Linked DNA regions of Tamandua tetradactyla. The main gene of each other region encodes a partner of the protein of the gene in region 2 in a complex. Links are inferred from orthologs where the notes say so. Each region holds a gene or a part of one and is shown on either strand. Other genes may lie near its edges. The genes, in order: LSM6 and USP39.

Region 1 (16,111 bases), on a different chromosome or scaffold from region 2:
CTTTTCAAAAGTCATCTTGTTACAGAACAGCACCTCTTCAAAATATTTTGGTGAACAAATGCAACAAAACTGTAGTTAATTAAGCAAAAACTGAGAGTAAAAACACTCTGGAGGTTAATCTTTCTGTTTCAGCAAAATTCAGCATCACTATTATTTAGAAGCCACACAGCAAAGAGAATTAAAAACTAATATATCTGTGGCAGAATTCTCACCTGCCATGCCAGAGACCTGGGTTCAATTCCGGGAGCCTGCCCGTGCAAAACAACAACAAAAACTAATAAGGATACAATATTTTAAGGACTCTTCAAGAAATCAAGTTTTTTAAAATTTGCTTTCAAAGTTTTATTATACATTCTTCCATAAATAGATCTGCTATTTCACCCCAAGTCCATCCACTCAATGATCTGAATTTGGGTTTAGGGTTGTTGTTTAGAGATTTTCTCAAAGTAAATCAATGCAGGCTCAGCAGTTTGGGTAAACTAAAGTACTAGGTTTTTCATCAGTTCAACAAATATGTGTAAGACATGCTGTGCAAGAAAATTAAAAACTATGTTACCTAGAGTCTTCCTTAAAGAACTTAGAATCTATCAGAATTTAAACTCTTGCTAAATAGAAGGAAATACAAATTTAAAAATCTATTCTTGAATTTAAGCTATGTCACTTGGATATTTCCCTTCCAAGGCTTGAAAGATTATTTCAAAATGTGATCAACTGATTGTCTGCTCAGCAGTTTAACTTTTCCACTGAGTGGCTAGCTTATTTTTATACCTACACAGTCTCAAACAATACCTAAAAATTGCAACTTCTACTTCTTCAAGACTCACACCACACAACTATTTCATTCACCTGCAAAGAGAAAAATTACAAAGTAAATACTGTAACAGATTCAGTACTGTGCTGGTTTGAAACTTTTATGTACCCTAGAAAAGCTATGTTCTTTTAATCATGATCCAATATTGCAGGGTGTGGCCTTTTGATTAAATTGTTTACATGGAGATGTGACACACCCCGTTCTGGGAGTGACCTTTTGATTAGATGGAGATGTAACTCCACCATTCAAGATGGATCTTTAATTAGTTTACTGGAGTCCTTTAAAAGGGGAAATATTTTGGAGAAAGCAGATAAAGACACTGGGGATGCTGAGGAAAATGCCAGAAGGTCCCATAGGAGCTGCAAGAGTCGTGTGAAATCAGAAGCTGGGATAGGAGTCTAGCAGCACTGCCATGTGCCTTCCCCCGACATGCCAAGCGAGCCAGATGCCAAGCAAGCCAGAATCTGGAAAAAACCGAATCAGAGAAGCTAAGTGAGGGACCACAGATGATCGGAGACTAGAATCAGAAGCACAGAGAAACGAACTGGGAGCTAGGACCTCAGACGCCAGCCATGTGCCTTCCCAGCTGACAGAGAAATCCCAGATGCCATTTGGCCTTTCCTCAGAGTCAAGGTATCTTTATCTGGATGCCTTAGTTCAGTCATTTTTAAAGCCCTACAACCATAAACTTGTAACTCAATAAAGTCCCTTTATAAAAGCTATTCCATTTCTGGTATATTGCATTCTAGCAGCGTTAGCAAACTAAAACAACTACCTTTAATGACTGGCAAAAACAAACAAATCTTCCCAATCATCTACTAATTGTTTATTTATGTTTTGAACACATGCTGTTTTGTAGATGAACAGCTCTAGAGAGACTAGTAACTCTGCAGGTCTAATAAAGAAACTCAACTCTTGAGTATCAGGTTCATTTTCCCCACTAGGTCACACTTTCTTCATGTAAAAAGACTGAGGTAAAATAGCTGTTTATTTTGTGTTCCCTAAAAAAAAAAAACAACAATAAAATGCATTAAGATGTATCACCTAGTTAACAGGCATAATATTAAATACCATGTCCAAAGTAACAAGGGAATGACAGTCAATAAAGAAGACTACAAATCTTGACTATCAATTGATTAAGAGAAAGATATTATCTATATTATTTTCCACTACCTTTTTTAAAAGCACATATACTACCTGTTCTAAGCTCACCAATGATCACGTCTTTCACTAAATGTCCAGATTTACTCTAATTAACATCAATCTCTTCTAGAAGGTGCTCAATGCTTCAAATTTACATGGAGTACCTAACGTGCTGAGGAGATAACACAAAAAGCATATGGCTTTGGGCCCTCAGAGTCCCTCCAGAGAGGAGCCAAAAAAAACGTAAATGGAGAATTTTATAAAAGTGATATGTACCTGGACAGAATTATGTACACAGTGTTTTGAGAGCACAGGGAAGATTCACTTAGCCTAGTGCTGGCAGATCATGGAAAGATTCCTGAACTGAGTTTGAAAGACATGGAGGAGCCTACCAGCGGAATGCAGAGAAGTCTTAGCCAAGGCACTGGACAGTGCACTTGGATTTGAGGGTAAAATGCTACATAGGCAAGGAGGAGACTCAGCCACAGAGGGATCTGGGCCACACTGAAAGGGAACACCATAAGCCGGGCTAAAGAGCCTGGGCTTGAGCATCTAGGTCCCTTTCCCAAATTTGCAATCATTTGGGCACTTGAAGATTCTTATTCAGTAGTTCTGGGGCAGGACCCAGGAATCTGTTTGCACAAACCTATAAGGGTCTTGTGAACTGGCACATTTGGAAATACTGTTGTTAATGACAGGGAACATGAGAGGGTTTCAAACAGAAACTTGTTTGGGTTATTTTATGGATGAGATTGTAGAGTGGAGACAGGCCATCTCAGTTCTGGCACTGAAGAGCTTAGCATTTTTTTTGGTATTTGATATATATGTTATTACTCTCTCTCTTTTTTCTTTTTGTATGCTATATGGCGGGGTAACTTTCATTCTTTTTCCATGTGAGTATCTCATTATTGCAGCACCATTTGTTAAATTTTGTTTGTTTGTTTTTGTTGGCTTGTTTGTTTTGGGGAAGTGCATAGGTTGGGAATCAAACCTGGATCTCCCACATGGCAGGTGAGAATTCTACCACTGAACTACCCTCGTACCCCCTTTTCTTATATTCTCTTTTTGCATATGTCTTTTCTTGCTCAAAAGACTGTATGTCACCTGAGAGGGACCAATACCAATTTTCTCACATCTTCTCCAGAAACCTACATTCTGCTAAATCTCTTGAAAAAAATATTTTTAAAGTTATTTGGAAAGAATACGGTTGCCTCAAACACATTTTATCCCTCACTGGAGAGCCATATATTTTATATTACTCTTGATTAGGCTTCCTTGGTACTCCTTGTTACTTAATGACTTGCCCATAAATCCATTTTGTATGAGTAAACTGGTTCTGACACCACAATTTTTCCCACTACTTGGTTCAAGTAATTTTAAGTTTTCATCTTTTAAACTGAATAAGGGAGAAGGAACAGTTCTGACCATTTCTGAAACAAGAGATAATATTCTTTAACCATAAACACATAAAAGGAAAAACAGCCCCTTTCTCCAGGGTCACCTTGGTAAAACTCCCTTCAAAATTGAAGTTATAATCAATCTCTATGCTTCCTCTCCTTCCCGACTCCTACTCAGGTTTGTTTTAAACTACCTATTTTTATAAATACTTATTAAGTCAAAGACAGTATACTTTCTGTCAGAAGCTACTGACAGGTCTAGTACTAGACAATCTGCAAACTGCTCTACAGAGACTTTTTAAGTAAAAGAATGGGGGAGGAAGGCAAATTTTATTCATCCAACTGTGCCAGGCAATGTTAGATGCATGAGCAATTCACATAGTAACACTATGAGGTGGTAAGCAGAACTAAGGCTGGACGCCCTCCCACCATAGCCTATGCCCCTTCAAAGGTACAACTGCTGTTTTAAGTATGTCAAGACTCCACTGACCAGGGATGGCCACTGAGACAGAGATAAAACTAGGTAGAGTATAGAAGCAATGGGGGCCGGGAAGGTAGATGCCAAAAGTGACAAAGTACTGTAAATAAGCCTGTGAAGAAATATAATAGTCAAACAGAAAGAAATATAACTAATGTGGTTTTGAGCTATGACACTGAGCAAAAGACATGAAAACCCTTGCTTCCTGGCAATGTCTCCTTATAAACTTTAACCTAATTCTATAACATTTACAGCTTAGAGTAAAAAAAAAAAAATTGGAAGGAAAAATGATATTGCAATGCAAATAAATGTGATGTTGGACTAATCTTTCAGCATCTGAGAAGACCATCAGACAATGAGAAAAAGAGTTCTCTAAATAACTTCTGAAACAGCGGAGGACCTAAGCTTATAGGAAGGCTCAACACTAATTCACTCCTCTGTCCAAGGTAACCAGCAACTTCCTTTCCTTCTCTCCAAAAACACAAGTGAGTCAGTGCACTTCTTTCTTACCTGTGATCACACCAGCAGATTTTGTAATTGTTTTCATTGCTGACCAGCAGGTTCTAAGCTTCTTGGGGGCCAGGAAAATACCTTACCCATTCTATATCCTTGGGACACTTCCCAAATTTGTGGAAAAGACACTCAAGGCCAATGCCAGGCAAAACCCCTGTCTCTTCTTCCCTCACACTTTGGGCAAAGTGGGTAGTACAGTATCATCTACACATTTCAAAAGCTATTAACGTGGTAATATCTCTACTACTGACCACCAAATAAGAGAAAAGATAGTGGAGAGAAAATAGAAATGTTTCTGTGTTGGTCAAAAACTAGCTGCATCAGAATCAACAGAAATGCTTGTTAAAATGCAGAGTCCTGGGGCCTACTCCTATCCAGGTGCTTTAGGCAAGGGGTACTGTAATTTTCATTTCCTAAATCTCCCCGAAATAATTCCTATACACAAGCAGCTCTCAATGAGAAGGCAATTCTGCACCTCCCACTCTCACCCAGGGAAATCTGGAAAAGTCTAGAGGCATTTTTTATTGTAATGACTAGGGAGGGTGGTCCTACTGGTTTCGAGTGGCTGAGTGGGTAGGGGCCAGGGATGTTGCTACACATTCTACAATATACATGACAGCCTCCACAACAAAGAATTAAACAGCCCAAAATGTCAACTGAGGTTGAGAAACCCTGCTATAAGCCTAAAAATGATAATAATCATGATGCCAACACTGTTCCTGGTCTTAAAGCAACAAGGAGTTCTTTTTAATTCTTCAGGTTATAACTAATAAAAACCAATAAGTTCTAACCAAATGATGGGGTATAAATTATAACTTATTAGGGACATTTTATTCCAAAACACAGAGAATTTGAAAACAATTGTCAAAATCTTCAAGGGGTTGCCATTTGTTATCATGGATTTTAGTCCCGGCCATGAAAAAGGTCACTTCCCAATTTTTCAGTGTTACAGGTCCCTCTGATGGTTATCTTTGTTGTACAATTCTAAACTGATAAAATAACCCAGGTGACATAATGTCTTTTTAAATTCTAATACCTATTATGCCACAGTGAGAGAAGCCTGATGCAGCAAAAAGAGTACTCACTTGGGAGGCAGGAAACCTGAGTTCTAATTCCATCTCTGCTACTTAATTAGCTGTGTGAATTGGATAACTCATCCTTTCACCTCTCATGGCCCCAGGTTCCTCACCTGGAAAATAAGGGAGTTATGCTAGATGGTCACTTAAGTCTCTTCCTGCTCTAACATTTGGTTAGCTTATGCCATAACGCCAATAGTACACACACACATATGCAAGCTTCTGTATGATTCTTGCACAAAATTCAAATAAGCAGAATTACCAGACACCACCATGAAAAAAATCATTCAAAAGAGAGGCTCAACTTTCCTGGTTGATGTGTTAGAAATGTTTCAAGCGACCATACTTTTGGTGAAGCGGGAACATTCACGCATGGATGATGTAAACTACTCAAACTTTTTTTGAAAACAATTTGGCAATCTATATGAAGACTCTTTAAAATGTCCACATCATCTGATCTAGTAACTCTACTCCTGAGAATCTAGTCCGAGGGAATAATCAGATACACAGTTAAAAAGAGAGGCTCACCAAAGTATAATCTGGGACGTTAAAATAAGGCAAAAACTCAGAAACGACCTAAATGCCCCACAGTAAGAAAATGGATGAATAATTTATGAGACCTACACAATGATGGAATAAGCAATCAGAAGAAAATACAGAATTAAGACAATTATTTAGTAAGAATTTACAAATATAAATAGAAAACTGTATATACTGTTAAGTACGGAAAAAATAGGTATAGTCTTAACTCAAGTAGAAACAAATCCATAAATAAAATACATACATGGACTGTGGGTGGAAGAACTCAGTGAATATTATTTTCTTCACTGAAGTCCTCTGCATTTTCCGTTTTTCTACAATAGTCATGTATTATTATGGGGAGGAGGAGGCACACTAAATCACTATCAACATTATCTGCATCACTCTAATCCTGGATACCCCGAAGTAAAACACTTGCTATGCACGCGTGCACGCACCCGTACACACAGAAAGTCTCCGGTAATAGAACTCGACTCCATACGATTAGGGATATCCCCCATCCGACAACTCGGGAAGGTGGGCTGGAGCGGGGAGGTCCACTCCTTAATTCCTGGGAGTCAGGAGCAGCTAGTCCGATTTGAGCAGCTAGTCCGATTTCAGTGGAGTACCCGTGATTCCCTGCTGCCCTGGGAACCAGGCAAAGCCTGGGCCTGTGTTCAGGATCCGTTTTCCCGCCGAATCCCCGGGGAGCGTCCCGGGATCCGGTGAGACTTCGACAACCGGGAGAGGTCTCACAAGCAAAGTCAAGGCAGCCAGGAAAGTGCCCTTCCTCACCACGCCTCCCGGTTCCAGGCAGCTCTGGGGAAAGGGTTCCAGGGAGCTCAGGAACCTCAACGCCGACAACCAGACATCTCCCGGCCATTCCAGGCGCCGAAGAGAGCCAAGGGGCGCGGCGTCCCGCAGGGACCGACCCCCCGGCAGTGTCCGGGGCCCGCTGTCCCTCTCCGGGTCCCTAATCCCGCTACCGCCAGGCCCTTCCCGGGCCTAGCTGGGGAGAGAGAACCCTGGCCCTCGAACCCGGGACTACGCGCGGCCTCGCCTTCAGACCGCGCGACCGCACACCCGCGCGGCCACCCCGCTCACCTCGCGGCCGGGATCTAGCACCTTACTCCTGGCGGCGCGCACGCCCGGCCTCCGCCGACAACCGCCGCGAAAGCTGAAACCGCCGAAGCAGCGGCACTTTCCGCCCCAGCCAATCAGTGCTTCCTCCAGCTACGGCAGCCCGTGAGGACCGAAAAGGCCGGTCCTGGCCCGCGCGCGCAAATTATAGAACCTCGGTTTGCCGAGATCTTGCCGCCGGGTTCAAGTCGGAGGCGGTGGTGATCTTTCTTTTAACGGAAAGCCTAAAACAGTATTAACAACCAAACTAAAAAACCCAAGCAAATAAAGAACTGGAAGTGACAGGATTTCTTTGCAGAAATATAAGAAATAGCGTGAAGTCAGGAAACTGGAATTTACTGCTAAGGTATGTCGGGGCATACCCAGAAATGTCGCTGAATAATCTCATGAAAATAAACAAATGAAAAGGAGCCTCAAATCTTTAAATCCATCTTTGGATTTTGATTTAAATGTGTGAAAACAAACTCATTATTAGCAATTCCATAGCAATGTTAATTGAAACTAAAATAATTCGTTAGTAAGTAACTATATTGTAATGGCATAAATTGTGTTACATTACAAACAGTAATTCTAATTGGAAATGCTGTGCGGACATTATTTAAGTGCTGCTATGGGAACCTGGTTTGGAATTTTGCATGAATTCTCGGTATTCTTGCTATTAGTGAAACAGCAGAGGAAAAGGGAGACAGCTGTTACACCAACATTGAATTCCTTTTTTCCTTACACACATACCCTCATCAAGATAGACTTTAATCTTCCTTATGAGTTGTAACACTATAAACAAAGTGCTACCTTTAAACAACAGATCTTAAATCTGTTAAATGTTATAGGATATAATATGCAGATTTTTTTAAAGACAAAAGTGAGTATCCCCCCTTACACACACATACACTCCTTGTAAGCCTCTCTTAGCTGAAAGGTGAAGAAGTGAGCAGTTGACTGATCTTGTGAACAGAGAACAACTGGGGGTGATTTAGCAAAGAGCAGACTTCCTTAAACCCTTCTCTAAAAGAGTGGTTTGGGTCAAGACCAAGCAATTACAGATTAATTGAGAGAGCTCTATTTGAAGTTCTTGCAATATAAAATATAATGTAAATTTAAATTTTTTTTAAAGAAAAGTACTATTAAAATCAAGTAATTAGCTGCAAAGAACAAACATAATAGAATATAAAGCTCTGTCCCTAAAATCCTTCTTTGCAAAAGACATCAGATTGTCCCACATTCCTCACTGATTGTTTTCTTAAATTTTGATTCATAGATTTTTCCCTCGGTTTCCACAGAGCCCTGGTGGAAGCAGTAGATTGATGTGGAGGACTGGGGGTGGTGAGGAATTTTTAGAGCATAGTTCATCTACAGGGCAGCGGCAACCTTTTTCAAGGGGCACTAACATGAATTACTTCATGTACCACCAAAGCTTATCAAAAATATGATTGTCCTCAGAATCCCCTCACCAGCTTAAAATTGGTTTTTACTAACTCACGAGGCAACTTTCAGTATTTCACTATTTTTTCCTTCAACATCATATATTTTACAAAGAGAATATATGTGGGATTTTTCTGGTTTACTACCAAGAACTGGTCTTTGAAACCTGAACATAAATACTAACTTATTAAGAAGCCCTAAAGTCATAAAAACAGTGTGGCACAGCTTAGTTTGGCTAAGTTTATCATTGCCTCTATATAAGTTTCTATCCAATGAACTAAAAATCGTTAAGATCATGACATCAGAAATCGTAATATATGAATTCTGCCTCCTCCACTTCTAATTGTAAAAATCTTTCTTGGTCCAGTAATTAAACTTATCTAAGGCTTTTTTTAAAATCTTAAAACGGAGGAAATAAAAGTTAATTTTTTTACCCTAGAATAATGAAATGATTGAATGAGAAAGAAAACATATACAAAAATGCTTTGTAACGAGAACAGCATTTCAAACATAATCTGTTATTCTTAAAACAGGCAAATACTAGTATAAAAATACTAAAATGAACTCAGCCATTTCATTATTTATTGCACATTTCTACAAGTTTTCATACCTTTGCCTTCAAGTAACTATCTCCATTTATGTTTCAGATTCAGAAACAGAAACAGAAAGTATCATTTTTAGCTTGTCTTATAAAACACCCAACAGCCCGGAGAACGTGTGGGTGATTGTACTATGATGCTGATGTGGGTAAAGATAATAAACACAAACATGGAATTGGATTGGTCACATTCCCAAAGCAGGTTTTAAAATGTTGCATCAGTGTTAGGCATTCGATGAACACTAGTTGCTCTTGCCTGAGCAGTGCATTAACTGTTCTGAAGAGCTGACAGGGGTAGAGCCTCCCTTCCTTGACCTTTCAACACTGGACATAAAAACATGAAAGCTATGACATCCTGGTTTTGGGTATTTTAGGCCACTCTTACCTACCTTTCATCATGGGATGTGAAAATAATTTGTTAAAGGAAATGAGAAGAAAGACATTCTATAACTGCAGAATATCTTCTGAGAAGTGATCTAAACTTGTTGACTGGTGGACAAATTTCTCAGAAAAAGCAATAAGCCTTTTATTTTTACCAAAAGAAGGAATATGTCATAGTTTGCCAAACTGCTGTGACAAATACCACACAAAAGTTTGGCTTAAATGAACAGAATTTATTGTCTTGCAGTTTTGGAGGCTAGAAGACTTGCTTCCTCCCACTTTGGTACGATTTTTATGCTGGCTTGCCTGCACCTGGGGGTTCCTTGGTTTACATCTCTGCCTCCTGTCACATGGCAATGTCCTTCTTTATCTTCTGGGTTCCTGCAAATTTCCTGCTTTGGGCTCCTTACTGTGGTTCTCTCTTTATAAAGCCTCCATGAATCCAGATTTAAGACCCACCCTCATTCGACTGGGCTACACCTTAACTAAAAATAGTATCTTCAAGGGGTCCTGCTTACATGCGTTCACACTCACATGCATGCAGATTAAGATTAAGAACATATGTTCGTTGGGGAACATAATTCAGTCTACCACAGATTTATTCGATAGCATAGGCAATTATTTTAAGCTAGAACATTTGAGATGTGTAAACACATGTTCGAATTTCATCAATCCATCCTTTTGGTCTGAGTTTAACTTCGAAGGCGATGGACTCTGGGTCTGAGCTCCTGGAAGGAAAGTCTGCCAAACGCTGAAATGCTTTACATTCTACTGTGAACTCTAGAAAACCTCTCTCAGCTGTATAATTTAACGAAATCTGTGTGAAGCTGCCCTTGTGTTTTCAACAAGATGAACTTGAAAGGTGAACATTATAAGTGGGAGAAATTATTTATAATTTGGTAATAAAAGTTTATATCTAACACTCCAAATTTCATACATCTGCCGTGTGCCGGCACTGAGATATAAAACAATTGAAGTTGCCTTTACATTTGCCCTATATGAAAGGTCATAAATTAGAATGATAGCGTTCATCTTCTTTCCTAGCTCACAAAATTTCCATATTAACATCTTCACCTCAAACATAAATGGTTACCCGCTACAAAGAAAAGACTTGGATTGGCCTTTATGAATTATAGTTTATGTGGAAATCTGTAGTATGTAAGCTTGCTGTTCAGCTCTCAGTGAAGTGCATTTATTTCAGTAATGCTAATTCTACCACAGTGAAACTCATTGGAACTGTGTGGCCAATGTATATAAAGCACAGTATGTAAAAATTTAGGAATATTTCAGATGTCAGCAACTTATTTCCAAGGTATGGGAGTCTTTAACTTTTAAAAATGCATTTCTATGTCTTTAAGAGATTTCTGTGGCTAACATACCTGCTACCAAGTTTATTTAAAATACGGCTTTCAATTTTCAAAATATTTTAATGTTTCTTCCAATGAAATAAGATAATATATAGCTTTTAATTTTTTTCAACTACACAAAGGCTGGTAACCACAACTAATTTAATCAGAGCATATTATAACTAAATTCGTTGTGGAATATTAATGAATTGGACCAGTGCTTTATGTTTAGGCATTCAAAAAAATGTTTATAGCAAAAAACAAAAAACAACCAAACAGATGTCCTTGATTTTCCAGGGTGATATCAAATCCATATGCTTTTTTGGTCTAAAGATTTCTTTTACCAGCCCAGTGGTGTAGTTAAAATGCAGCGTATTATAAACCGGCAGGCTCAAGCTCAAGAACAGTTTTAGAGATTCATCCAGGCAGAATGCAAAATTTCCAGACCACATGCTAGTTCTTAGTAACTTTCAGCATTGGAAATCAGTTTTCGTAATTCTGGATTAGTGAACATCACGTAGCTGAAAATTACCAATATGTTAGCACATGCTCTTTCATCTCAATTATTTTCTTAAGTAATTGGCTTTTCTCTCTAATGTCAGAATAAATGGATGTTTCTTCAGTCACTGAAGCTCCTGCACTAAGAAGCACATCTGTTGTCTCCAAAAACTCTCAGGAGCAAAGAATATAGCTGGTTCTGTTGTGCCAAAACCTGCAGCAATATCTGGACACGTTTCTAGACGGTCACGCACACCCAAAAATACAACACTGTTCTCATTTCACACGTCTCCCCAAAAGAATTTGGGGAACTGACAGATCACTTTATAAGTTGCAACAAGAGAAAAGAATAATACTCTCTTCTCTTGAAGGTCTTCCTATACAAATACAATCAAGATGAATCCTGACTGCCTTTTATGAGAAGGAGAAACAAAGACTTCTAAATGATTTATGCTGAAGAATTGAAACAAACAGATTGCAGAGTACACAGAACATGGGGAGGACAAACATTATTTCCAATTTCACCAGGGGCCGGGAAAGGATACTGGTATTGTTAGTATTCCTTTATTCATACTGAGTGGGTGAGATCATGAATAATCTGTGTAGACATTTGCTAGATTAGTATCTATCCTAACATTCTGTCCAAATAGCAACTTGCTCCGTTTTTAAGTGTTGTAAATTTGCTTAGTGCTTGGCAAAAAGGTGCTCCTAACTATAAATGGATAAATAAATGACTAAATGAATGAATAAATGACTCCACAGGTGGTCCCAGAATAAGACCCTCTGAGTGCCACAGAATGAACATATATTAACTAAAATAAGAGAAAATGAAGTCCTTGATGTGGACTTTAGAGAATTCAGAATCTCAACAGTTCTTGAACCTTATCCCCACCAATCTCAATCACAGAATTAATTAATAAACATTTATCACTAATCAGGTGTCCCAAACTGATTTAGAGCCCAAATTTTACTTTTTGAATCCATTCCTATTCGGGAACAGCAAAGATCTCAGAACCCTCACTGAAATTTAACTTTCCATTTCTTAACTAGACAAAAGACTTCTTGGTTCCACCTGCAGCATATAAATTACTCCCTAATTACATATTAGGGAATATTAGAGTCTTATGGATTCTACCACTCACTCCGTCCCCCTTCCCCTACCCTGTGCTGGTTTGAAAGTATTATGTACCCCAGAAAATCCATATTTCAATCCTAATCCAATGTTATGGAAGCAACTGTTTCTTTGGATCCTCATTCAACACTGTAGGTTGGAAACTTTCTATTAGATTATCTCCATGGAGATGTGGCACACGCAATTGTGGGTGTGATCTTTTCATTAGATGGAGAGGTGACTACACCCACTCCAGGTGGGTCTTGATTAGTTTACTGGAATCCTTTAAAAGAGGAAAAACATTTTGGAGAGAATCAGAAATGACAGAGCCAACAGAAACTTTGGAGCAGAGCTGGCACAGATGCTAACACTTGGAGAACAGAGACAGGGATGTTTGGAGCACAGCAGATGTTGCCATGAGATGTTAAGCAAGCCAGAACCTGGGGAGATCCAAGGGAAGCCAAGAGATGAAAGCCAGCCCTGGAAAAGCAAATTTTGGAACCCCCACAGGAACAGAGGCTGAAAGCAACAGAGCCTAGGAGCAAGGGACCAGTGTGACTTCCCAGCTGAGAGAGAAAGCCCAAACATCATTGGCCCTTTCTTTGGCGTTAATGTAGCCTCTTATTGGTGCCTTAATTTGGACATTTCTATGGCCTTAGAACTATAAACTTGTAACTTATTAAATTGCCTTTAGAAAAAGCCATTCCTTTTCTGCTATATCACATTCCCTCAGCTTGCCAACTGAAACAGATTTTGGTACTGGAGAAGTGGGGTGCTGCTTCCATTTGCAAATACCAACCATGTTGGGATAGTTTTTTAAATGGATAAGGAGAAGATTTTGGAAGAACAGTGAGGAGCTTAATAAAGAAGTGCTTTAAAGATACTGCTAGAAATGTGGGCTCTAAAGATACCTCTGATGATGCTTTAGACAGAATTAAGGAATGTGCAATTGCAAACTGGAAAAAAGGTGGCCCTTATTTTAAAGTGGCACAGAATCTTGCAGAATTGTGTACTGCTGTTGGATGGAAGTTAGAATTAAAAGGTGACAACCTAGGATACTTAGCTGAGGAGATTTCCAAATTAAATGTGGAAAGTACGGCCTGGTTTCTCTTTGCAGCTTGTAGTGAAATGCGACAGGAAAGAGATAAGCTGAGAACTGAGCTCTTGGGTATAAAGAAACTAGAAATTGATCGTTTGGAAAATTCTGGGCTTCCAGAAAGGGAGACCCCAGAGAATGGTAGCCCATGACAGGATCTAACCAAATATGGAACCAGTCAGCCATTTCTGGGAAAGCCAGGACTGGAGATAGAGTTATCCAGGAAGGATTTGTGGGAAGTCCTTTTGCTTGATGGGCATGATCCCCAGCATACTGCATAAAAAACTAGTAAGAGTGTTGTGGGATCTGTATAGACAGAGCCACTGTCAGTCTGAACTGAAAGGGACAGAAAAGGGACAAACTGGAGGAAAAATAACTTCAGAGGCAGAACTATGGAAGCTAAGGTCTGAAGCAAGAAATCTTGGGCCAGGAGCGCAGACCTAGCCATATATGTAGAGAGGGTGAGTTTGCCCCAGGAGCAGAGGGTGGGCCTTCAACTTCATTGCTCAGGAAGAGTTGTGCAACCCCACACCTTGGAGAGGTTGCAGCACATAAACCAGGGAGGGGGGAGGGCCTGGCTGCCATCCCATTGTTCTGGGAGAGGGGTAAAGCATGTGCTCCAGAGATGGCTGAGATCCTGGGTGCTAACCTGAAGCTTGGAGAGGGTGGAGCTGAGAATAGGTGATCTCCCCATTGTCCCCCAAGATTGCAACCACTCCAGTGTCTGGAGAGAGCAAAGCCAATGATTAGGCCCTTGGAAAAGATGGGACTGCCACTTTCTAAAGGCCCAAGGATAAATGACTCTCAGACTTTGAAATCTAATGAAATCCAATCCAATGGAGTTTGCCCTGCAGGTTTTAGGAACTGTATGGGTCCAGTGACTCCTGTGTTCTTTCCGGTTTCTCCCTATGGAAATGGAAACATGTATCCTTTGACTCTTCCTTCTTTGTATATTGGCAGAAGATAACTTGTCCTGAGTTTTATAGAGAATTTTTGCCTTAGAACAGACCATGCCTGTAATAGGCTGATGAAATTTTGTAGTTGTTTTAACTTTATAGTGTATTTGTACTGTTGCTGAAATAGTTTAAGGGTTTCCTGATATAGTGAATATATTTTGTATATTGATAAAACATGCCTTTTTGGGAATCCAGAGGGTGGAATGTGCCAGTTTGAAAGTATTATGTACCCCAGAAAATCCACGTTTTAATCCTCTTGTGGGAGCAGCAATTTCTTTTAATTATGATCCAATACTGTAGTGTGGAAACTTTTGATTAGATTACCTAATCTAAAATGTGGCCCACTCCCTACCTTTTGATTAGGTGGAGGTATGACTCTACCCATTCCAGGTGGGTCTTGATTAGTTTACTGAAATCCTTTAAAAGAGGAAAGATTTTGGAGAGAGTCAGAAACAACAGAGTTGATGAAACTTCAAAGCAGAGCTGACACAGATGCCGACATTGGAGAACAGAGACAGGGATCTCTGGAGATGCTTGGAGCCCAGCAGACATTGACATGACATGTTAAGCAAAACAGAGCCTGGAGAGAGCCAAGGGAAGCCAAGAGATGAAGTTAGGCACCAGAGAAGCAAAGTGAGGAACCCCCATAGGAAGAGAGGCTGAAAGCCATGGAGTTCAGTAGCAAGGGACCAGCAGATGCCAGTCACATAACTACCAAGCTGACAGAGCTGTTCCAGACCCATTGGCCTTCCTTGAATTAAGTTATCTTTCCCTGGATGCCTTAGTTTGGATATTTTTATAGGTTTAGAACTATAAACTTGTAATATATTACAAGTAAACTGCATTCTGGGCAGTTTACAAAGTAACAGACTTCCTCTCACCCCCCCCCCAAAAAAATAAAAGAGGTTTTCCCAGTATAATTTGTTGTAAGAAAAATGCACTAGTCCAAATATTTAAAAAAATTCAAAAATCAAGAGGAAAAGGGATTCTGAAGGAATCTATTTTAGAGAAAAAGATTTGCTCTTTCAAAATAGAAAGGAAAATAATTTTTCTTTTCTTGGGTTAATGTGAAGGTACTTTAAAGAATAATATTTTATAAGTCTCCACTAGCTGGAGCAGAGAAAGCTTTGGCTAAACTCCATGCAATGGCGTCTTTCCACCCTTGAAGTTCTTTCATTCCTAAACCATTGACAACATTCTGTTGGTCCAACGGTGCTCAGATAATTTAAAAGTATTAATTAACAATATGTGATGGCCTGAACTTCACATGAACCTGCACAAAATGCTACATTAGAAAGAGAGAAAATTTTGCCTGGGCACAGCTGCTGAGCCAAACTGGCACAGGGATTATCCCCATCCTCTAACCATTTTCATGACCAGTGCCAGTACTAAAGCGGACATTGCACCAGGCAAGGATCTACAAGACTCATTAAAACTGTGGGAATCATTAGGCAGGCCATCTTACTCATTCATCTCTCAGTCTGAGAGGAATGTGGCTATCAGATAAGATACAGGACAAAAAGAAGGTCCATTGGAAGAGAAACTAGGAGTAAAGTTTCTATAAAGAACTGGTGTTCTGGTTTGAAACTTTTGTGTACCCCAGAAAAGCCATGTTCTTTCAATTAT
Region 2 (16,169 bases):
TCTCTGGGGAAGACAACTCAAGGTACAAAGGGCTGTGACCAGAGAGGTTAGGAACAAGGACTTCGTGATTAGAGAATAATTACTTTAAAAAAAAGTTACCCTCCAAAGGAGAAGAGCATGGATAAAAAGTTTATTCTAATTCTCAGCTATCCACATTGTGGGAAGAGGTTGTTCTCTAGCTACCATGCCCTAAAACAAGATCCACCTCCACAAAACAGTATAATACAAGTAGTAGATGTTATCAGAGAGAAATCATCCAGCCTCTAGAGGGAGTACAGGTCCACTTCAACCCTATTTTAGTGGCAACATCATCAGAGAGTTTACTCATCAATTTATGGGAACTAAAACTCATTACAAAGTCAAGACTAAATGTCCTTCCATGTTCAAATACTATCTGTCCATCCTGTAATTGTTTTCACAAAGCTGTAAGACTCCAAGAGGAACAGTCTGAAAAAGTTCCTTCCACTTAAAAATCTGACCTTTGCAAGGACTAGGCATGACTCCAAGGACAGACTAACAGATATGCCTACACAATCTTTTCCCACATTCTTGTGGCAAAAAGACCATAACCAAAGTCTAAAGGCCAAATGAGAACTGGGATAAAACATGTACAAGACATACAATAGAAAAAAGCTAATGTCTTCCTTATATATTTCATAAAATTTTATGAGATGAACCACAATAGAAAAATGAGCATATAAAGGCCAAAAACTCAAGGGAAAAAAATGCAAACAGCTAATACACTGAAAATTAATCAACCTTAAAAATGATGATCCAAAAAAATGTAAATTAAGGTGGAGGTACCTATCAAAAATTAAAAAAAAAAAAGCAATAACAACGCAAGATTAAAAAATACTCTTTTGTGTGGCTGGTGGATTTCTAAATTGCTACAACACCCAACAGCCTAGAATCTGGGCCCTAGATCCATTAATATAAGAATAAGTGATAAGTTAAATAAATGGTAACTATGGTAACTAGTGATTAAAATGGAATAATATTTAATCTGCAGATAAATATTTATTGATATAATAATACACTTTTATATTTAAAAAATAAATTTATATATATATACTATGTTACTTTATACTGTAAAAATATGCAGTTGTGTGTATTTTAAAAGTCCAGCCAAAAAACATAACAAAGCCGTGACACTGTCACAATCAGTACAAGTCTGCATATAGGAGGATATTCACTGCAGCACTGGAAATAGGAAAAAGAAATGTGAAGAAAGTTAAATTTTATCTCTTAAATGGAGAATGGCAAAATAAATCATGACACTGCCGCAGGACAGAACATTATGTCTGTCTGTACATGTGTTAGAAGAGTTCTGGAAGGCTATTCACTAAATGTTAATCAACCCAGGACAGAACACTGGAGAAGGAAAGGAACAAAGCTTTCACTTTTTCCTTTATGTACGTTTTGTTTGTTTATTTTCCCAAAAAGCCTGCATTTACATTTGAAAAGTTGAAAAAATGTTCAACTTTGTGAAGTGGAATTATCGCTAACTTTCTTACTCATGCTTACCAACATTCCCTAAGTTTGCTACAATGTGCACTGATGACTTGAATAACTTAACAACAACAACAATAAAAACTTTGAAAACAGGACAGCTTTGGCTTTCTGCCCTTCTCATTCTGGGATATAAGCACAGGGCCAGGAATGAGACAACTGACAGCCAGCACAATAAATATCTGCACCATTAAAATATATATACATATCTAGCATATCAAGAGATTCGTTTTGGTACTGCCAGACAAGACCCAGGTTCTAGCCCTCTCTCCCCAGGAAGCTGCAGAGGCTGGAAGCCTGGAGAAAGGCCTCCTCAGCTGGCAGCAACCCCGTAAGCAGACCCAGGCATGCTCTGCTTGTTGCAAATACTCAAGGAGAGCCCTTAGCAGGCCGTGGTCTCTGGAGACCAAGTAGCTGTACCCAGAAGGCAGCAGTTCCTTAGCCACCCTGCACACTGTCCCCAGGTGACTCTCTTCCCAATCCTACCTGAAGGACAGCATTGGCATAGTCATTGGCCTTTATGTTATTCAGTCCCACGATGCCTGGCAGGTAAGTGGTACCATCATATGCCCGGGACAACTTGGCTTGCTTATCCAAATTTGCAATTTGCTGCTTGGTGAAAGTAGGCTTCAATACATACTACAAACAAAAGAAAATTCTGAATTGTTGGAGGGCTTTACATAAACTGAGTTCACAATGTATGACTAGAACAGCAACTTCTGACAAAAACAATCTGGTCATGAATGTCTGAGCACACACCCAATATAGGTCTAAAGACCAGGTAAGATGGGGTAAGTCCTCCCCACACAACTGGTCTAGAAGGGGAATCCGCATTTAATCCAAAATCACTAACTCACAGGTCTTTCCTCAGACCTCAAGCCTGACCGAGCCCGTGATAAATGCCTGCCTGAAAATGGAGGACACGCAAGTCCCTGAAGGCAGCAGGAGTCTAAGGCTCAGGTGTGGCCTCATGGAGCCAACAAATGTTCCAGGCTCAGGAAAAGGCGTGCCCCCTCACCTCTGAGCAGGACTGAGGAATTCCAGGACCCCCCACAACTGGAGGTGTGGGATCAGAATCTTGCCAGTCACAGAGCTACATGGACCATTCAAACAGATGATGGGCTGGACACAGATCATAACTAACTTGCTTTGAAACCTCAAATTTATTTCAGTTTCCCCCTCCATAAACACTGTCCCTAATTATGTTAATTTAACCTCAATTATTAAGAGGCCTGAACAACTTTTAAAAGTAGTACAAGTAGGGTGGGCCACAGTGGCTCAGCAGGCAGAGTTCTAGCCTGCCATGCCACAGACCCCTGGGTTCAATTCCCAGTGCCTGCCCATGCCCAAAAAATAAATACATAAAAATGCTATAAAAGTAGCATAAGTAAACAAAAATAAAGTAGCATTAGCAGTGCTTCCAAAACTCTGAACACACAGCTTTCTCTTAAAACAGAATATTCAGCACAATGAATATACAGCCATTTGCTGGGAAGGGAGATCATAAGTAACAACTCCATCATTAATTACCACCCAGGAGGACTTTACATGCATCCATGTAAGGACAGCAAGGGACTCTTGGCACAGGACCCAAACCAAAACCCACAGATTTAACATGTTGGCTGTTCTGGTCAAATCATAAGTCAAAAGTTGCCAGGAACTGGTACACAGCTCAGTGTACTCTCTCCTACACACGGTTCAATTCATATTTCTACTCCAAAGTGTAGACAGATAATTTATTACTTTGATTAGAAATTAGCCGTATCTTTTCATCCCCAGCCTTCAACTAATTATTAAAAAGCAGAAGTGATGGCTAGGTGGCAGACCATCAGCCAGACATAAGATTCCTGACTTCCTTACTCGGTTTCCCCTGTTCCTTCCAAAGTGAAAAAAGCCTCTCCAAACCCTAGGGGGCTGAAATTCTTCCCTGATCTCAGGGTGGGAAAGATCGCAGGGAGCCCCAGAATGGCTCCCAAGAGAAATGCCCTCAAACCAGCTCGCATAGACACAGACCGTGATATCCTCCAATGAGGAGTCAATGATCTCATAGTTGTCTGGAAGGCAGTAAAACTTGAGGGTGTGGAGGTTGAGAAAGACGTGGTGGCTGAACTGGACACTGTGAATATAGGCATGAGACTTCAAACCCCGGCCTGCAGGGAAGGATGAAAAGGCTGTTAAGTGCAAAGCAGAGACAACTTTCCTGTCATTGTTTTGTACTGGAACATGTTAGTATCAGCAAAACAAAATATTATGCCACCCCTGAAATGAATCTCCCACATGAACTTCTCTCATCACAAATTAAGCAAGAAAGAATATATAAGCTATCGTTTGGGGAAACTAACTTCATATACACAGTGTGAAATATTCACAAATTAGTTCCACATTTATTAATTAGAATTGGAAATACTCATGTACATACTATATATACATACTTAAATCTGCACATGTATGCATGCACACACAAACAGAGCCTGTGACAGTATGTCACCACTCAATCCTAAATTTCCAACTGCCCACATGAGGGCCAATCCTGCACCTATGGTACCTTTATTCACATTGCCACTGCTTTTTAGAAGCTCTCCCCTTTCATCCATTCAAACCCTACATATCGTGCCAGTTCAAGCCCCACCTTCTCCACGAACTCAACAGAAACACTCCAGCCAAAATTAACCTTTCCTTTTGTCAGCTCCTACTGCCCTTATTTATATTCACTAGCACACAGACTAGGAGCAATCTTTAAGGGCTGAGGGAGTTTGCTGATTGTTTTATGTGTTAACCTTCACCCCTTTTAAGAACAAAGAAAGTAGTTTATATTTCTTTTGAATCCTCCACTCTACTATGAACATTTGCTTGGTCTGAATAAGCTGGAATAATAAGTTCTCTGAAAATAAGATACCCTTTCAGATATATTCAGATTCTAAACCAATCAGAGAATCTCCTGTTGGTTTTCTAAAAGTATTCTGATTTTCTGGGGACAAATCATTAGATATGATTAGGGATTATTCGACATGACTCTTGATAGCAGCTTACTTTCTAAAAACTCTCCAAAGATCTGTGGCTAGTGCTGAAAACTCTACGTGTCTATCATATCACACGCAACATTTATTTACCCTGAAAGTACTTGCCGCACACCAGACAGGCATATGCATTGATATGCGAGAGGGAGATGGAGCACAGTTTTTCAAAGTCAAAATCGAGCACACTCCTAAAAGAAACAAAACAAAAGAAAAAACAATAGGGATGGATATCTAGGAGGCCACCCAACCGATGCAGTGCTTGCCAGTGTCAACTAGCACCCTGCAGAGAACGCTTCAACAACTGGCTATAAGCTGTAGGGAGCACTAACTATTGCCGCCTTGATGTTAAGTGGCACCTCCAGCCACAATGCCCCAAAGCGGACTCAGGTGTCTCAACCACACACAACCCCAAGGACCCCCTTGTTCACTAACTGATACGTATAACTGTTCAAGGATCTTCCACCTACTCACTTTCTCTGGAGGAAAAACTGTAAGAACTAGACTAAGTAGCAGGACCTCAACAGCATTCCGAATTAAAAGACCAAGGGTAGAAAGATATAAAAACTGTGAACAAATCCCTCTTATGAAAAAAAAATTATTACGGTCCATAAAAATAAACAGGGAGCCAAAAGATTTTTAGGGTAATACCAACAAACTGATCTATCCACATAAGTACAAAGTAATGATACATGAGGACTGAGCAGGGAAGGGACAAAAAACTTTATCTTCCCTGAAACCATGGTGGCAAAGGGATGTCTTCTGAAGTATCCCCCTCAATTAATTATAATAATTTTACAGAGCTGAGCTGTCTAATAAAGGCTTCACTAGCCACCTGTGGCTATTTATATTGAAATGTAAAAAAATGAAAATTGAATTAAATTTAAAATTCAGTTCCTTAGTTAAACAAGTCACCTTCCAAGAGTTCAATACCCACATGCGGCCTGTGCCTGCCACAGTTACAGAGCCCGGCCCTCAGAACAATCCCACGGGTGCACAAGGTCCTAATGCACAGCACTTCCCTCAAGAACTGGCCGAGCAGCATTCTCAGATGCCATCTGGGCTCAGAGGAAAGGATGCCATGACGAGATAAATACCTCTGCTTTAGGATAAACATTTTTTTCTGAGCTGAATCCCAGGCACCTAACCTAGTTCCTGGAACACAGTGAGCGCTCATAAATACTTCATTTTACCACTGTTGTTTGAAGGACACTGTTTCCCATTATTGCAACATGCAAATTCAAAATGAACTCAAGGTTCTTTATGCATGTGCCCACCCTCAAATAACGTTCCTGTCCTACAACATGCACCTAACCGTTCACAATGAAAGATAAAGGTTAATAATGGCAAGAAGCACAATTTTCTGGGCTTTAGAAAAATAAAGAAAACTTTAGAGGGGAACATTTATGAAATGGTGTGCGATATACAGCTCAAAGACCTTTCTGCAGAGATTGGGTGGATCTTTTTGCTACCTTCAGCATCCCTGTCCTACTGACCTGTTAATGGTGTCCAGGTAAGGGCAGTGGCGGCTCCTCCGATCCTCAGAATCCACACGGCCATTCTTTGCTAGAAAGGAAACAACCACAGGGCTTTGAAAATGGGAACCTGTACTGAGAGTTAACTACGAGTGGAAGCAAAGAAACAGAAATGGAGTAAGCTAATCAAGATGAGTTCCTAAACAGGCAGCCTCATGACACCCAGAAAAGCCCATTAATGGCACAAGCCACAAACTGGGAGAATGTGTTTAGAACCCATATAACCAACAAAGGATTAGCCTGCAAATTACATTAAAAAATCCACGAATCAATAGGAAAAAGACAAAAACCCAACGGAAAAGTGAGTCAAAGACATGAAAAGGTATTTCTTAAAAGAGGACTACAGGCCACAAACATGTGAAAAGATGTTCAACTTCGTCAATAATCAAAGATCTGTAAGTTTCCTTGCACAATGACGTCCCGGCCTGGGGAGGCAGAGATAGTATCTCCCTAAGAGGGAAAAGGGCAGGGACATTCACTGCCCATTATAAAATATACACGTTCTTTAAGTACAGGCTTCAATTCCGTAAAGCAACCCACTGTGCTTAAGGGTGCCACTCAGACCTCTTCATACTGCTCCATGGAAGCTGACACAAATGCTAACAGTCTGGCTACTGCTATTACTGTAACAAACTGTTCTTCATCTCCAACCATGAATCTCATGTCCTCCATTGGCATCCATGAAACAAATTAGCTCGCAGACAGGGAAAATCTTAGACCTTTCACAGTTCTTAACAAGTGAAAGATTTAAAGATGTACATTCATGTTGTTCTTTAAACCATACTTGTACATTATATTCAGTCTTAATTCCGGTGATATACCCCAAGATAAAAATAAAAGTTAAAGGGAGAAAAAAAGACAAGACAGTAACACTAACAGGGATCCTTAGCATGTCCCTGAGAAAACAATCTCACCACAACGAGGTGAAATAACTGAGAAACCATTTCCATTCCCAGGAAGAGAAAACCTGGGTCTGAGAGAGGATTTAATAAAGGAAATCAGACAGTACCCTAAAATTATGCATTAGATAATTCAAAGAATATTTACCAAGTACTTTCTATAAACAAGGTGCTATTCTGGACTTTGAACATAATACAAAAATACAACCGACACTAAGTTAAGGAACTTAAGAGCTAATGTTACAGTTTAATCATATGGATAGTCAGGACCACAGCAGAATTACAAAATCTTGGAGAAAAAGACTCCACCCTCAGCAACCCACCCCTAGCACGTTGCCTAGCCGTACATTCACCTGCTACTTCCTCAGGCTCCTACTAATTCAGCAGAATGTAAGTATATAGGAATATGTTGAAATCAGAGTACAAAGTCAGCGAAGGTAAGGATGATGAAGTTAGGGAGAGCAGGAAAAGCTTCAGAAGTGGTGAAAATCTACTTAATGATTGGCAGGAGTTCAACAAGCAGAAGAAAGCACTCAAGACAAATCCACACATCGCAGATGAGGTCTGCAGGAACTCATCCTTCTCAGAAGTGTAAGGGAAGGAGAAAGTGGCTCGCAATAGGAGGCAAAAGGGACACTCATGGATGGGAGTCACAGACTCATTAGACATTGTTAGAAGAGTCCTCAACGGTCACTGCTTCCAGGACTACTTCCACTAATTGACAGACCGATAGACACGTGAAACTCTTTTGTTCAAACCACAGCAACTCGGTTTTAGAGGCAGATCTAGAATTCAGCTCCCCTAGCAGCGACAACCCCGGAGAACGGGGCATGGCGGAGCAGGGCCCAGAGTACCGGCTTTCGACACTGATCGGATTCCAGAAATTACTGCAGGGTCCATACTTCGGGGTTGTTGTGAAAATCAGAGAAAAATAAGACCTACGAAGTAATTAACACAGCGCGTAGCCCACGATAAAGGGAAACTGCTGTCCATGTTAGTATGAGAAATATTATAACGACGGCTAGCCTTAAGGTTAGTGCTTTCGCACTAAAAGACAGTCGAGTTAGAGAGGCAACACCCAGGGAACCTGGGTTTTCTCCCCGGGAGGAGCACCGGGGAAAGGTGCAGAAAGCGAGGGCGGCGCGAGGGTAGGGCCCACACCCGGCCCCGCGCACCTCGCACCTCCCGCTCGGGTTCCGAGTCCTCGTCAGCCTCACGCTCCCGCTTCACCCGCACGACAGGGACTGCCGGAGTCGGGGCCTCCCGCGCGCTCGCCGGCTCGGCCTCCCGCTTCACGCGCACCGGACTGCCTCGGGAGCTCGCCACCTCAGGCTCCCGCTCCCGCTCCCGATCTCGCTCCCGCTTGACCCGCCCCGAGCTGCTCCGCGAATCGGACTCGCGCTTCCCGCGGGCGGAACCCCGAGACTCCCGCTTGGACCGGCCGGACATCGTTGCAACGGGCCTCACCGCCCCGCGCAGGCGCCAGGAGTACTGGCGCTTGCGGCACCCGGCCAATCAGGAGGGCAGCTGTGACCGAGTCCGAAGCCCTCTACGGGTGGGCGATGGGGCCAAACCGCGCTGCAGGAAACTCGTGAGAAGTGCTGAAATTTTCTGGCGGTGTAGGCGCTGCGCGCGCACCCAGGACGACATGCAGGCCCACTGCAACTCTGCCCTTAATTTCTGTCTTAAAAAGGCAGGACTGTTGTTGAAGAAGACCGTATATCTACATAGCTTTTACAATATGAGAAGACCGGATAGCTATATAGCTTTTACAATATGACTGTGTGAATGTGAAAACCCTGTGCAGGGTATAGACAGATGAGAAAAAAAGGAAAAAAAAAAGATTAAAAATAAATAAATAATAGGGGGAGATAAATGATAAAAATTAAATAGATTGAAATACTGTGTGTCTATGAGCTGAGACTTAGCATCAAGGGATTGAGAAAACCTTCTTGACCAAAAGGGGGAAGAGGGAAATGAGACAAAGTGTCAATGGCTGAGAGATTCCAAACAGAATCGAGAGGTTATCCTGGAGGTTATTCTTATGCATCAAGTAGATATCATCTTGTTTTTCAAGATGTAATAGAGAGGCTGGAGGGAACTGCCTGAAATTGTAGAGCTGTGTTCCAGTAGCCATGTTTCTTGAGGATGATTGAATAATGATACAGCTGTAACAATGTGACTGTGTGATTGTGAAAACCTTGTGTCTGATGCTCCTTTTATCTACCTTGTCAACAAAGGAGTAGAACAGATGGAATAAAAATAAATAATAGGGGGAATAAATGCTAAAATAAATTTAGTTTAAATGCTAGTGATGAATGAAAGCAAGGGGTAAGGGGTATGGTAGGTATAATCTTTTCTTTTCTTTCCTGTGTTCGTTTTATTTCTTTTTCTAATGTCTTTTTATTTCTTTTTCTGTATTAATGCAAATGTTCTAAGAAATGATGAATATGCAACTAAGTGATGATATTGTGAATTACTGATTATGTATGTTATTTTATTTTTTTAATTAATAAATAAATTTTAAAAAAAAAGAAATACTGTGGGTCTAAGTACATGGAATCTTGAATATGGCATGAGATCTTGTTGGTCTGCTGAGGCTAGTGTGGTGTCCAACATATCCCGGAGTAATGTGGGCAGAGAATAAAGAAATATTTGCAAGGTTGCCTTGGGGGACCAGGGAGAAGGGAGGAAATATTCAACTTCCCGTATTTGGAGAATTTCTAATATTCTCGCAAGCAGTGGGGACAACAAAATGAATACATTGAGCCCTTAATCTTGCGGTTCGCCCTTATGAAATTTATTCCTATAAAGGATAGGCTAAGCCTACTTAAAATTAAATCTAAGAATCATGGGCAGAGAACATATTTTGTTGCTCAGTTGTGGCCTCTCTCTCGAAGCCAACTTGGCAAATGAACTCACTGCCCTTCCCTCTATGTGGGGCATGACTCCCAGGGGTGTAAATCTACCTGGCAACATGGGATAGAAATCCCTGGATGATTCGGGACCCAGCATCAAGGGATTGAGAAAGCCTTCTTGATCAAAAGGGGGAAAGAGAAAAAAGGAGTCAAAATAAAGTTTCAATGGCTGAGAGATTTCAAACAGAGTTGAGAAGTTATCTTAGAGTATGCGTTTATATGGATATCCCTTTTTAGTTCATGGTGTATTGGAGTGGCTGGAGGGAAGTATCTGAAACTGTTGAGCTGTGTTCCAGTAGCCTTGATTCTCGAAGATGATTGTGTAACAATATAACTTTTACAATGTGACTGTGTGATTGTGAAAACCTTGTGTCTGTTGCTCCTTTTATCCAGGGTATGGACATATGAGTAAAAAAATATATGGAAATAAATAAATAAATAATGGTGGGACAAAGGGTAGAATAAATTGGGTGCATGAAAATGCTAGTGGTCAATGAAAGGGAGGGGCATGGCACTATGAATTTTGTCTTTAATTGTTTTTTTCTGGAATGATGCAAATGTTCTAAAAATGAATCATGGTTATTTGTAAAACTTTCGACTTGATATTTTGAGAACATTCACAATTTTAACAGCTGATCTAATAGTATCTAAGTTAGAATTTAAGAACTTTACTATCTGAAAAAAATGATCATGGTGATGAATACACAACTATGTGATGATATTGTGAGCCACTGATTGTGGAATGTATGTGTGTAAAGATTTATCAATAAAAACATTTTTTTCAATACACTTTACTCAGATAAGAGAAAGGAAGGAAGGAAGGAAGGCTGTGGGTCAATGAGAGGGAGGGGTAAAGGGTACGGGGATGTATGAGCTCTTTTTTTTTCTTTTTCTGAAGTGATGGAAATGTTCTAAAAATGATCATGGTGAAGAATACACAACTATGTGATGATATTGTGAGTCACTGATTGTATAATATGATTGGACTGTATATGTATGGATATTTCTCAATAAAAATATTTTTTAAGAAGGCAGGACAGAACTTCCTACCCACCAGGGAGTTTCCTTCCCTGACCACTGATCTGCTGCATAGCTTGTATTTCCTAGAGTTTTGCCTAAATGGAGTTATATACTATGTGCTCCTTTTTCACCTGTCATTCAGGTATGTTACTGGGTGCATCAAGAGACTTGGACTGTACCCCACTGACACCCTGGCTCCTCCCTCCACGCCGAGGCGTGCTGGGCGGGCTGCGGAAGGGGCTTCCCGGGCACTGGTCCTCACCCACCGCGGCCCCGCTTACAAACGAGAAAACAAGGCCAAGCAGCGCGGCCCTCACCGCGCGCCACCCCCACCCCCAAACTCCGCGCACGGCGACGTTCGGCCCCACGGGCCTCCCGCGACCGGAAGTCACGTCTCAGAGCCTGAAGGCAAGCGAGGGCCGCGGCGGGCCTCTCCCGGCGGAGGTGGGGGCGGCCGTTGGGGCTGTTGAGGAGACTGCGGATCGCCGCGCGGGGCTCCAGATGGATGCGGCGCCGGACCCCGGGCCGGGGCTCTGCTGCAAGCCTGGCGGGCGGCTGGACATGAGCCACGGCTTCGTACACCACATCCGACGGAACCAGCTCGCCCGGTACCGCCCCGCTCCGCACCGCTGTCCCCGGCCCTGGCCTGCTCGGCCGTCCCTGACTCTCGCTCGGCTCCCCGCAGGGACGACTACGACAAGAAGGTGAAGCAGGCGGCCAAGGAGAAGGTGAGGAGGCGGCACACGCCGGCGCCCACGCGGCCCCGCAAGCCCGACCTGCAGGTGTATCTGCCGCGACGCCGAGGTGAGGCCGCCTGCCCCGCCAGCTGGCTACTTTCAGCCGCGCGCGCCGCCGGGGACCTGCCGCCTGCGACGCACTCCCCTTCTCGGTGTGGAAAAAGCCAGTTCTCGACCCCCGAGGCTCAGTTCGCCTGGTCCCTTCCCGGAACGTCCGCCACAGTGCTCCCGCTCCGCTCAGTGACCCCCCTAGGGCAACAGGCGGGGCTCACGGCCCCCAGTTAAGAATCACTGTTACGGGCGATGTCTGGGAAACGATAGAAGCCGGCGAGAAGTTATCTGTCGGTTTGTCCGGCCTTATTGTGCCTTTTTATCCTCTATACCTGGTGGTGAGAAAGCCTGGCACAGATAGAAGCGCTCAGGGCCCAATTGTGGAATGTCGCCCAAATGCAGCAAATGGCTTTTCCCCCCTGCTTCTTTTCGATGCTTTCAGCTTGTATGTATGCCAACCCCTTTAGTCTTTAAAGGACTCCAGAATAGAAATTCTTATCCTTTCTGTTTCGCAGGAAACTGTGGCAGGGAAAGGTTAGGTAACTTGCCTTGAGATTTCAGAGATAGTAAATGGCAGAACCTGCATTTGAACCCAGGCAGAGTGGCTCCAGAGGCTTCTCTATCCTCTTCTCCTCCACTACCTTCCACCCCTATTCACCAGACATGTGTATTGTGCATCTGAAATATGTCGGGGTGCTAGCCTCCAAGGAGGTGGGAGGTATATTAATAACATCACTTCTGATTGGCAGCACACTACACATACACACTTTTGGGCACCTCAGAAGACTAGGTTTTTCTGTACAGTATGTTTTAATGCATGGTCTTTATGGGCAAGGGCTCTAGCAGCCCTCCCCCCTTCCTCTCACTCTGGTTCATCCCTCCAGATGGCTCTACCCGCCCAAGCAACCCAGATTATGAGGAGTCCAGTGAAAGCAGCAGTAGTGGTGGCTCTGAGATGGAGCCGTCTGGGCATCAGCTCTTCTGCTTAGAATATGAGGCGGACAGCGGAGAGGTCACATCAGTTATCGTGTATCAGGTATGCCTCATGTGGAAACAGCTGCAGCCTGAAGGTCCTGGGCCATAGTAGAAATCACTGCCAGACCCTGAGCCAGTGTTTTCCTCAGGGCCAGTGGGAAATGTCTGCTCCATGTGGGAGCATAGGACTGCCAGTGATGCTTTACTAGCACAGGTCACTCCCATCATAAGGTGATACTTGGTGGGGAACAGGGAGGGCTCACTACCACCCATTGAGAATTACTATTACAGGAAATACCTGGGAAATGACCAGAGCCAGCATGAAGCTGTTAGCCAGTATTGTCTAGGGTCAGGGCAGGTCGCCTTTGCAGAAGACGCCCAGCTCTGAGCTTCCTGACTCTTCCTCCATGTAGGATGATGATCCAGAAAGGGTGAGTGAGGAGGTGTCAACCCACACGCCTCTGGAGCCACCCATGCGAGAGGCCCTCAAGTTGCGTATCAAAGAGGAGATTGCAAAGCGCCAGAGCCGCCACTGACCAGGTTGAACACATTCTCTCCAAGCTGGATTCGCTACAGCATTCAAAATAATTCTGCCCAGGGAGCTCACCCCTAGTTTGGGTGTGCTAGAACCAGTCTTTGCTGACTTTGAAACCCACCACCCCATCCAACTTCACAGCTGCTCCATCCACAGAAGAAGGGTGCTGCAGGACTACACCTAGCCAACTTCCTTGCAGCCATTCTTTCCTGTGTGTTGGTCCATTTGACCAGCCTAATATTCTGGAATTTTTCAAGAACTGTTCACCTAGCTTGGTGTTTTAGAAGCAGAGACTCCAGGCAGAGCTGGGGTTTATGAAGCTTTCTCATTGAGGTCTTATGCTATGGGACACATGGCCACTGCTGCTCCCCCCCCAGCTCCATGAGCTATGTTATTTTATGGTTCCTTTTTTGTGCATGTTCCTGCTCACTTCCATCCAGTGTCATGTTTTCCTAGCTCTTTTTCTCAGCTCTATTTCTTTGTTCTTTCCTTCAACCCATCCATCTGCCTCAGGTAGACTCCATCAATTCTCCTTCCACCCCGCGACCCTCATATGAACGCCCGCCCTCATGTGACTGCCCTCAGGATATCAGTCATACAGGAACCTTATGAATGTTGTTGCACTTCCAGCCGCTCAGGGCTTTGCACATAGGGAGTTCTGAGAATCTACTTACTCATGAGCTCGCCAGGTAACGGCTGCCAATAAAGTGGGAGACCCTTCGTATTTGAGGCGTACTTGCAAGCTGTCTTCCTCCTTTTCCATGGCTTTGGCAAGTTTCTCACATGCCCCATGCCTTGTGCTGTCTAGATAGGAGACCTAGAAAGAAGATGCCAGAGCTGAATTGCAAGGATCTCTTGCAGGAAAACTGCCTTGGTTAGGGCTGCAGAATTCTAGCTTTTAACCTTATCCCTATCGGGGAATAGACTATCCTCTGCTCAGAGTAAAGGGGGATTATCTAAACAATTTTGAAACTGACTCTCCAAATGTGGTTTAGCAGTCTTAAACATACACAAAACAGAAAGGGAAACTTAACATAAGCAATAATTGCCTGTTGGGAGCTCTAATTGCAAAAAGTCCTGACCAGTGTCCCAAAGGAAGTGAAACAAGCCTCTGCCCTCTGCCCCATCTCCTGCTCCATGCTTTCTCAGTTCCTACCTCCTAAGTATATAAACTGAGATCCTTGGAATAAAGATTCCCAGGAATATAACTGCTTCCATCTCATGAACATTTTTCCTAATGCTGGGTTAGGTTAAGGTCTGAGAAGAACATAAGACATGCTGCGCACTGAGGTTTAGCGTTACTTCAGTTTTCCAGCAAGTTGGCCTAACCTCAGTGACTTGAAATGTGAGGTTTACATGAGCCCATGAGGCACTGAGACTTACAAAAATCAAAGCCCACTGCCCCAGGAGTTTTCCACATCAGAGGTTCAAGATCAATCTGGTCTTATCTCTCTCAGCAGCTTTTCCCCAAAGGACACCTGAGGGTAATGCTGGTTTGTGCACTATACCCACCAAAATGGGGTAAGGAACTACTTTAATTACACCATTTAAAATCACTAAGCCACAGCTTGCAGTGCCAGAAGGATGCTGGGAAGGTGAGTGAAGTGAATAAGAAGGGCCTAGTGGCAAAGTTGGCCAGGGACCAGAGTGCCTCTAACCCAGGAAGCTAGTCCAAGGCTAAATGCCTTAAATTTACCAGTCTTGGGCTCAGTTCTCCTTTCACAGGAAGGTCTTTGCCCTCTACTTATTCAGCTGGCCTGGAAGTGCCTTTTGACAACAGTATTAAGTATCCTTCAATGCCTCCTGAGTCAAGGAGGCCCTGCCAAACTCCACCCGTATTCTTCCTGCAAGTCGGAAGACCAGTAATTTTAGTCCTCCAGCTCTTAACTGATCTTATGACTTGGAACATAGGATTTCACTGGACCTCTTAGATAAGTTTCCTAATCTGGAAATGCTTTTTGGGTCTGTGTGCTCACATCTGGATCTCCTATTTCCTGGTTTTATTTTATTTAGAACTGACAAGCTCAGAAGAGGAGTTGGGGGGATGGCACCTGAAACCTTAGCTTCCTGTTTTATGAGAAAGGAAGAAGGCAGCGTTTAGTGTGAAACTTCTTTGTTCTTTTTTGTTTGTCCTGTGATCCTCACAAAGACCCTCTCAGTAGGAGACGGATGGGAACACCTTGCTTTTAAACTTTTTTCTTGGGCCATTTTGCTTATGGAGTATGTCACAAATATTTTCCATACAAGAAAACATTCTAATGTGTGACTAATTTATGCAGTGTTTACATACAACACTAAGGCTGGTACTAAAATGAGAGGTTGCTGGCCCACTGGAGATGTACACACACATTTGAATGATGCTGCTATTACTTCAGATGTGCCTGAAATGCCTGTCTGGACATGGTCCTTGGAGCCAGCTTATGGCCTTGTAGTTCAGCTTCATTGTTTATTGCCACCCGTCATCTGGAGTTCAAGATGGTACTTTTCAGTTTATTCACCAGACTTGTTTCCATTCATCATTCAGCAATTTGGAAAATTGGTGCTTTGCCATCCAGAGTGTGTTCCAAAATGTTTCCCACAGGCTCTAGAGGCGTCCCAAAGAGGACCAACCCTCTCTGTGGTGCAGTGGCAACAGTGTTGGACTGAGTGAACTTTCCAGTGGGCTGCTTCAGACTCAACATTCATTTGACTAGATTCATTCTTAGCTTTCAAAAAAAAGTCTGGTAGCCTGATAAACGTATCTCATGCCATCCAAAATGGAGTGCTCTTACTGAAGGTAACCCTCGAATTTTAAGGCTTTGTGTTTCCTGGGCCACAGTGGGTTATGTTTCAAATAGAAGGAAATGGGTGGGTTTTTTAGGGGCTTTGGTCTATGCAAGAATAAACACTAAAGCTTAAGTCCTAGCCAGTTGGCAAGCATGGGAATCTTTCAGGAACTTAATGCAAGAAAGGAAGAGAAGAATGTAAAGCTTTTTG

The links.
Region 1: USP39 (region 2) and LSM6 share a complex: the UniProt entries of both Homo sapiens proteins name them as parts of the U4/U6-U5 tri-snRNP complex. The link is inferred for Tamandua tetradactyla from reciprocal best matches to the Homo sapiens genes USP39 and LSM6.

The regions. Positions count from the first base shown.
Region 1 is NC_135348.1:21,881,773-21,897,883, forward strand, and holds the start of LSM6 (U6 snRNA-associated Sm-like protein LSm6), read right to left. Parts: upstream 7,170-16,111; 5' UTR 7,042-7,169; intron 7,008-7,041; exon of another isoform or gene 6,733-7,007; intron 6,521-6,732; exon of another isoform or gene 6,396-6,520; intron 5,532-6,395; exon of another isoform or gene 5,428-5,531; intron 249-5,427; exon of another isoform or gene 213-248; intron 1-212. UniProt on the Homo sapiens protein: Plays a role in pre-mRNA splicing as component of the U4/U6-U5 tri-snRNP complex that is involved in spliceosome assembly, and as component of the precatalytic spliceosome (spliceosome B complex).
Region 2 is NC_135343.1:59,909,164-59,925,332, reverse strand, and holds the start of USP39 (ubiquitin carboxyl-terminal hydrolase 39), read right to left. Parts: upstream 8,455-16,169; 5' UTR 8,407-8,454; coding exon 8,133-8,406; intron 6,090-8,132; coding exon 6,020-6,089; intron 4,715-6,019; coding exon 4,620-4,714; intron 3,660-4,619; coding exon 3,523-3,659; intron 2,149-3,522; coding exon 1,996-2,148; intron 1-1,995. Other genes in the region: C17H2orf68 (UPF0561 protein C2orf68 homolog), read left to right, coding at 11,397-11,503, 11,581-11,699, 12,568-12,719, 13,072-13,194.